Bombyx mori: one gene and its partner. The protein of the gene in region 1 purifies or fractionates together with the protein of each later gene. This does not show direct contact. Links are inferred from orthologs where the notes say so. Each region holds a gene or a part of one and is shown in the gene's direction. Other genes may lie near its edges. The genes, in order: zinc finger CCHC domain-containing protein 10 and neuralized-like protein 4.

Evidence for each region.
Region 2: the proteins of zinc finger CCHC domain-containing protein 10 (region 1) and neuralized-like protein 4 purify together in Homo sapiens (co-immunoprecipitation; 3 studies listed by BioGRID and IntAct, with this or other methods). This does not show direct contact. The link is inferred for Bombyx mori from reciprocal best matches to the Homo sapiens genes ZCCHC10 and NEURL4.

What each region holds. Positions count from the first base shown.
Region 1 is NC_085113.1:10,857,069-10,861,408, reverse strand, and holds the start of zinc finger CCHC domain-containing protein 10, read left to right. Parts: upstream 1-1,329; 5' UTR 1,330-1,728; coding exon 1,729-1,772; intron 1,773-1,848; coding exon 1,849-2,016; intron 2,017-4,236; coding exon 4,237-4,340.
Region 2 is NC_085107.1:10,103,029-10,106,858, forward strand, and holds part of neuralized-like protein 4, read left to right. Parts: intron 1-73; coding exon 74-229; intron 230-644; coding exon 645-830; intron 831-1,640; coding exon 1,641-2,610; intron 2,611-3,663; coding exon 3,664-3,830. UniProt on the Homo sapiens protein: Promotes CCP110 ubiquitination and proteasome-dependent degradation. By counteracting accumulation of CP110, maintains normal centriolar homeostasis and preventing formation of ectopic microtubular organizing centers.

The sequences.
Region 1 (4,340 bases):
TGTTTTGCTCATAGGAGCATTGTTGAGCACTCACAACAAATAGCTACCTAGAAAAACTTTATTTCTTTTTATGACGTGTTACGTCATGTATTGATAATGATATGTTAAATGATAATTATATATTTAGCAATAAATTATAGCCTTAATATTACGAGTTTTTGATCGAGATTACCAGTTGACCTAAGATAATTCTCTGACCGCACGCTCTACGCCCTTTATCTTGAAAGCAGTTTGAGGGAGTCCATATAGGGTCCTTTCTTTATTTCGCCGTAAAGTCGTATTTTATGTAATTAACACCATAGTTGAAACAATAGAATTTTTATTGTTGTAGCGGCATAAACAATTCTAAGTTATAATATTATATTAGTTATTAAACACATTATAAATTATTTTACGTTTTAAATTTTTGGCGGTAAAAAGGTCCCGTGTCACAGACTTTAATCTTTTACCTCTGGTGAGTTCCGGCTTACGCATCATAAAAATGTGCGTTCTGAAATGCCACAAGTTCAAGGTATAAAAAAATGTTAAATAGAAAAGTTAGATTATTATCAGTATTGTAGGGAATTTAATTCTCTAATATACACAATAATAAATACAAATAGCGTGGAAAAAACCCATGGAAAACGAGATTTTCGCCAGAATAAAATAAAAAAAATTTTTTTTTACATTGACCGCTGTCTTTACATTTTATGTGAATTTTGAAAATAGTTGTAGGATGCCAAAATATTTTTTTTTTTATGTGGTAATATACTGGATATGTCAATTTTCTGAGGTTAACCCCCTATAATGACTGGACTAGGCCGCGTATACGGCCCGCCTGAAGCGTACAATATCCTTACTAGTTTTATTAGATCAGGGACATTTCTGACCTCTAACAGGTACCTCAGAAGAAGTAATAAACAACCAACCACGATGTGCGTAATTCACGCTTTCCATCACAGTCCGTTGACATACATTTATTGCAAAATTCTTCGACACCCAGATATCTTCCGATGACCAAGGTGAAAGCGTGGTATGGTAACCTGGATGAGATTCCTCACAATCTGAGAAATGGGTGGCCTGTGTCACGAGCTGGGAGAGGCCGTAGGCCGAGAAGAAATCATAGACAGCCCGAACCGGGATGTCAATGGTCCTGGGTCCCAACCACTTTTGGTAGTGACCGTTACAGTCTCCTAGGTCCACCACATCTGCAGGTGGCAAGCAAGTGTAGATTCGGATACAGCCCCCATATTAAGCGATAGTTGTACTCCAATAAGTAGCAGTGATATTTTAAACCTACCAGATATCATCTAGAGCAGATATCTGCGTTTCCGTCAGAAAATGTAATTTCAAGGTTGCTGTGCAAGGTTTCAAGCTCAGGTTGCTGTGTAAATCCGTAACATTCCTAAAATTCACATTAGAGGTGAAATGGATATCCGCCACCAAAACCTATTTCCTTTTTCAGACTTTCATAATTTATTTTTAAGCTTTATTGAGAATTTACTCATTTACATGAACTATTTTTTTTCATTTGTGCATGTGGGATTTGCAAAGGGGTTTCCATAGACAATATTCTACTATATTTTTGTTTATAAATTTGACAGACGCATTTCCACATCCTCGACTTGTGTTTGCGCTTTTTATGCGATAAATTTTAATAGAAGACCTGTTGCAGTTTGAACAGTACAATTCTAAACATATATTTAACTACCCCCTAATCTTGTTAATTTTCCCTTTGAGATTCTGAATATGACTCTGGGAACATATAACAGGCATCAGGCTGAGAGGAAAAAGTAAGGAACAAATTTTCTTCCAACATTAGTTATCATGAAAATACCATTTAACCTGGACTGATATTCTTTTTTTTAGGCAAGCAGCTCTGGCTGCTGCTTTTCCTCAAGGCATAAGATGCCAGAAGTGCTTGGAGTTTGGACACTGGAGCTATGAGTGCAAGGGCAAACGCAAGATCCTAGTTCGTCCTTCACGTACACGAATCATGCATAAGAATCTGAAAGCCAAAGAAGAAGGTCAATGCAGGTAAAATGCAATTTCGTCTTTCAATAAAGTTCTAGAACCACCCTCCATATTTTGTTATGATCTACCTAATGCTTTTATACTGGTAATCTTTATATTGTTAAATAACTATTAATAGCTTACGAAGTTTCTCTAGGTAACCATGATACTTTTTCATTTTATATAAAAAAATGTGATTCTGATTTATAATTTAACTTTTGTGGAGGGTAGATGGTGGGAAAGTTATATGATGACTTCATACCTACCCAATTTATTCAAATTGGTAGTTTTGAAGTCAATAATTATTTCATTCTAAAAATTATTTCAAATGCTTTCAAAACTTTAATACCTACATGTCTGTCTTATGAATAACTGCTGACATCAACTTGTACATCATAACATCTTGTTTAACATGAATTTGATCTTGAATGTAATAGGATATATTTTATTCCCGAGTGTTAGTTTTAAGAAAACTTTAGTTCTGGACTTCAACAATAAATGACACTGCCTTAATTATAAAACACACTAATCCCAGTAATTTTTCTAAGGGCTAATAGTTCAATGTTAATGTTATTTAAATTTAATATAATATATTTAGTAAAATTATCATTATTATTCTGATTTTCTAGCTAAATGGCATGGTACTTTTTAGATCGAGCCATGATTTCATTGCTGTGCTTTGATTAAAGATGCAGATTATTAATGTTAAAGCTTCTTTGTTCTAAAGAAATTTAAGGGTACTTTTTTCCTACCTATGCTGATAGCCTTCAGAGGCTATTTCAGCTTGTTGACTTGTAGGTGAGCTCACGGGACTCAAACCGGGAGTGTTGCTAACACTGGCCCTAGCAAGAGCAATACTTAGTGGAATCTACCACTGGATCGGAAACACGGCCCACTGAGAAGATCCGATGAGAAACTTAGTGGGCTGTGTCTATGGGTTAATTCACGGTCACTGATGGTAAACAGTGGTTGTGGTACCTAAAAGCACCGTTAATGAATGGGAGGGATCTGTAATGACGTGTTTAGGGCGATGTCAACTGTTTACCATTCAGTCTACAGGATTGGGTATGTTTAAGGGTTGGCTATCTGTGTTTTATATGATAAAATTGAAAGGCCCCTGGCTTATTTGTACCTGTATTACAGTTTTCTTTAAGAATAGCTATTTTCAGTATTACTATTAATAGAAGCCAGGGCCAAATGCTGATGTCACAGGAATTCATCTGGGTACTTCTTGCTTTTCTTATATATATCAAATATACTTTCATATATTAGATCTTCAAGGGCATCAAATGCTCAAAACTTGCACAGGTCAAAATAATACATCATATAATGTGGTGCAAAGATATTGCAACAAATTAGTCCTCTTTATTGTGGTGTGGTTAACATAAATGTTTTAACTTCTGTTACATTTTTAAGGTTTAAATATATTCAGGCTTTGTTTAAAATGTATTATGGTTGATTATTATTATTTATTTTTTTATTGCTTAGATGGATGGACGAGCTCACAGCCCACCATCCCATAGACATCTACAACCATCTTGAGATATAAGTTCTAAGGTCTCAGTATAGTTACAACGGCTACCCCACCCTTCGAACCGAAACGCATTACTGCTTCACGGCGGAAATAGGCGGGGTGGTGGTACCTACCCGCGCGGACTCCCAAGAGGTCCTACCACCAGTGTAAATTAAAAGCACAAATGTTGGTAACAAGTCAGTTCAGTGTGTGTCTGTTTTTATACAACCCTTACTAAAACACTACATAATGTAGCTTGGAATCAGTGGTTTTTGTTTAATATGAGGGATATGAACATTATAAATGCATAAATGCAGAAAATATTAGCATGTTTTATACTCAATTAAGTATAATCTGTTGACCAGATTTGGGTAAATTTTCATCTTGGGAAAGTTACTTTTGATGTGGGTGAAGGTGCTTGCAGAAGCTACTTGTAAATAAGTTCAAGCATTGTAATTAAATAATAGGTCAATAATAAGCACACCATTAACAGATCATGAAACATTGTCATCCAGAGGTTGTGTAAGATATATGATATGAAGTTGTCCGATGGTAAAATGTTAGTTTATCATTGATATCTGAACTAATATGTTCACTTAATCAAATTTTGAAAAGTTGTTTGGTTTTAGTAGAACTTATGTTTAACATATCATGCAGATTTTTTGTAGTGTTTTCTAAATAAATAAAGCAATTATTTTAGATGTTTATTGAACATGGTGTTTTATTCACAGCAATGGCAGCTGCAAGATACCCAACAAGAAAAAGCGTGAAGAGGACTGCAAAGACTGCTCAGACAAGAGCTCATCGGAGAGCTCTTCTGATTCGTCATCGGAGG
Region 2 (3,830 bases), on another chromosome or scaffold:
CGTCTAATGGCGAACGTTTAAGATATGTTGAAATTATATTATTTGGGCTAAAAAACCGTTTCTATTGTTGCAGTTCCGAATCGATAAAGTGATGATGGACTGGCTCGGAAGTGTCGGTATTGGCGCTGTTGGTCATCTCGCTTCGGAAGAGCTTCCGCCCACCGCAATGCAACTAGAGCCCCCCGTGTGGGTCATTACAAGTGACCTGATTTACGACAACGGTGATTATGTAAGTCAATTAATTGTGTTTAAGTAATCTCTGCGAATGCATGCGGCATTTATTTAGTAGAAATGGTGTGAAGTTTTGTAATATTGTGGAGTATTTGCCTTATTTTTAGTACTACCGAAGTCAGGTTTTTTGAACTACTCAATCGGTGGCTTCCACCATCCATAGACAAACAACTATGGCGGCTTTGCCTGAAAGAAAAAGTCAGAATATGTTAATTCTAGAATGGCAATACAAAATCTAATCTTCTTCTGATACTAATATTAATATTTTTTTTTGTTCTGGTGGCTGATGACTCTATGGTACCAACCACATAACTTATAACAGTATAAGTCCCCTTAGATGTCGAGATCAAAAAATAAGTGCTAAAATTCGTCTACTATTACTTGTTGGTATTAAAGAATCATTATCGTTTTAGATAAAGACAAAGAGAGGTGCACCTTTAGACAACTTGACGGAGCAGTCGGTGCTCACTATACACTTCAGGCTGAACAGCGACATTGCCGTGGACATCGACTCGGAGCCGCTCGGAGTCATCGGCGCTGTTTCAAGGAATGCTTGTCACGTCTTCCCCCTGATCGATCTTTACGGTCGCGTCACTCAAGTGAGTACGAGTTTGTATTATCGATTCGAATCGATCTTAATGCCGTGCGACCCTAGCTAGACCAGGGGTCACTAATTAGCTTAGTTCGGAGTCTGTTTTAAGAAATGAAATGACAATCGCGCAACGCCGTACATTTTATAAAAAATATATATATATATTTAGTAATCAAATGTACGGAAATAACAAAGGTATTTTTTTACATATAAATGATAAAAATGAAATATTTTTGAAACGGACTATCTGTCTGAAGTTCGGAGAAAAATTAGTGCAAGATATTTTAATTAATTCCCAGAGATGTTCATCAGTAAGTCGAGATCGAAATTTATTCTTGATGAAGTTCATTTTCGAAAATGTTGCTTTACAAAATTATCTAGAACTCTTCACTGGAAATTTCCGTGCATAGTAGTACGAGTTGCTGTGTTTTCGCGGTCCACACAAAATCGATCAGCGGTCCGGATGAAGACCGCGGTCCGCAATTTGATGACCCCTGCCCTATTATATAGATACTATATAGTCCGGACTATATAATCCGGCTATGAATCAGTATGACTGAACCCAGCATTCTTCAAGCCACTACTACCCTGCAATCTGTCTATAACCGATTTAACCTGTAAACCTTGTTTAGCTTTCCCCGTTTTTTTTTGCAATGGAGTACTGATGGTAGGGCATATTGTGAGCCCTTGTAGGTTAGTACCACTGTCCTATTCGTTTCTGGTGCAAAGAAATCATGCGTTCTGATTTATAAGACCGGTAACGCTACAAGGATAACCGCCATTTCAGCTTAATTAAAACCTCGAATTCAAATTCTAGGTGTCTGTACTGTTGCATCCTCACGTGGTCGTGAGCGGCACTTCGATCGACCTACCCATCATAGCTGAAAATCAAAGAGAAGAATCGATGTCGGATCTCGACATGAATGAAGAACCAACTCGTGAATTATTCGAAACCAATTTGACCGAAATGCGAATCCGTCGAAAACTGAAAGCCTATAGCCACGACAACCTCATCGAGGACGAGCTGGAACCTATCGCGGCTCAGCCCGGACCCAGCTCCCGACGCGATATCCTGCCTCTAGAATGCATTCCGCTCAGTAACTTCGAGACGAAGAATCCAGCGATAAGACGCAAGAGACAATGTCCCAATCAGCTCTCTTTACACCAAAGCCTGATAATGTCAGACAATACGATGTCGTCAAACAGCTGTGATACATCTACATCGTCGCGCTTCATTCACAAGAGTCATTCCTCTCATAATTTTAGTCTGATACAAGACGATATCGAACTAAAGGTGTTACGTCATACGTACAGTGTAGGCTCACAGATAGCGGATCACTCGGACAGCTTGTCGCACGGACAGTTTTACGATACGAACATTCGCCATAACGATCGGTATCCCGAAGCGAACGATGTCGATAATTTGGATAATGAGATAATGGACGCTCTCACTTTGGAAACTGGTAATTTGCCTGATCTAACCGAAGAGCAATCGTCGTCTTTAGATGAATCGACGCGCCGCGACGAGCTATGGTCCGAGCAGCTATCTATTGAGAACTTGAATTACCTCAATCGCATCTTGTGCTTCGATCAAGAGATGGACGAAGGTCAGAGCTTGGAGTCCGAGTGGGAAGCGTCAGGCGAAGGCTGTGAGCACTTGCATCTTGTTTTGAAGTATTGGAACTTTTTGGTTTGTCCGTACCCTGAACTTCGAAAGGCGGTGTCCTGGGGCCAGGTACGGTGCTACTGCAGTAACTGCCAACCGGACTTACTGCCTCCGTTTGCTGGTTAGTATGTATTGCATTGTCATGAATTTGAATTTTTTTTTTATTGATAGATGGGTGGACGAGCTCCCAGCCCACCTGGTGTTAAGTGGTTACTGGAGCCCACAGACATCTACGACGTAAATGCGCCACCCTCCTTGAGATATCAATTCTAAGGTCTCAGTATAGTTACATGTATTAGTAGAATTCTACTAATAAAGTACAGTTTATTAGTAGAATTCTACTAATAAAATCACCCGAAACCGGTCGGGGGCAAGGTGACGAGTTTTACGTAAAGTATATACATTCTCTTGCCCACTGGACACTGAGTTGGTGGTCGCCGGGCCTTAGCAAATATTTTTATAATATTTATACATAATATTGTATGAAATATTCACAACCAATTCATTCCTTGTATGTTTATGCGTTTGTGTAGATTGAATCACACAACGCCGAAATTAACTCGAACATGGAAACAATTAAATAGGTAAATTCTCAAATCATCACTAATTAATTATCATCATTAATTTACCGGTGATATGACCTCTTTTGAGTCTTTTGAGTCCGCACGGGTAGGTACCACCACCCCGCCTATTTCTGCCGTGAAGCAGTAATGCGTTTCGGTTTGAAGAGCGGGGCAGCCGTTGTAACTATACTGAGATCTTAGAACTCATATCACAAGGTGGGTGGCGGCATTTACGTTGTAGATGTCTATGGGCTCCAGTAACCACTTAACATCAGGTTGGCTGTGAGATCGTCCACCCATCTAAGCAATAAAAAAAACAATAAACAAAAGAGTATATATGCGTGTGTGTGTCAAAAACATGGTAGTGTGTACAATGTTTTTCTTATTAATTTAGTGTATTTTTAATGCATAATTTCGAAAAAATATTAGCATTCTGCACTCCTTCTCTATATAAACTATAAGCGTGGGAAATTTCATACTCCTCCGTCCGCGAAATTTTCGTTAAAAGAGATACAAAGTTTTTGCTTCACGTAATAATTTAAAGATATGTCAACTATCGAATACGTTTGGCGTGTACTATTAGGTTTTATAATACCTTGTTAACAATTCAGGTTGGGTTCGCATCGAGCGTATAGACGGTGTGGGAGCGGCTCAGCGTGGCTTCTGGAACGTGTCGAGGAACATTCTGGGTTCAGCGCAGGCCGCGCACGGGGAGAGCGGCTCGGTGCGAAGACCACGTGCTCTAGTAGACGTACCCTGCACATCGACTTCGTTCTCT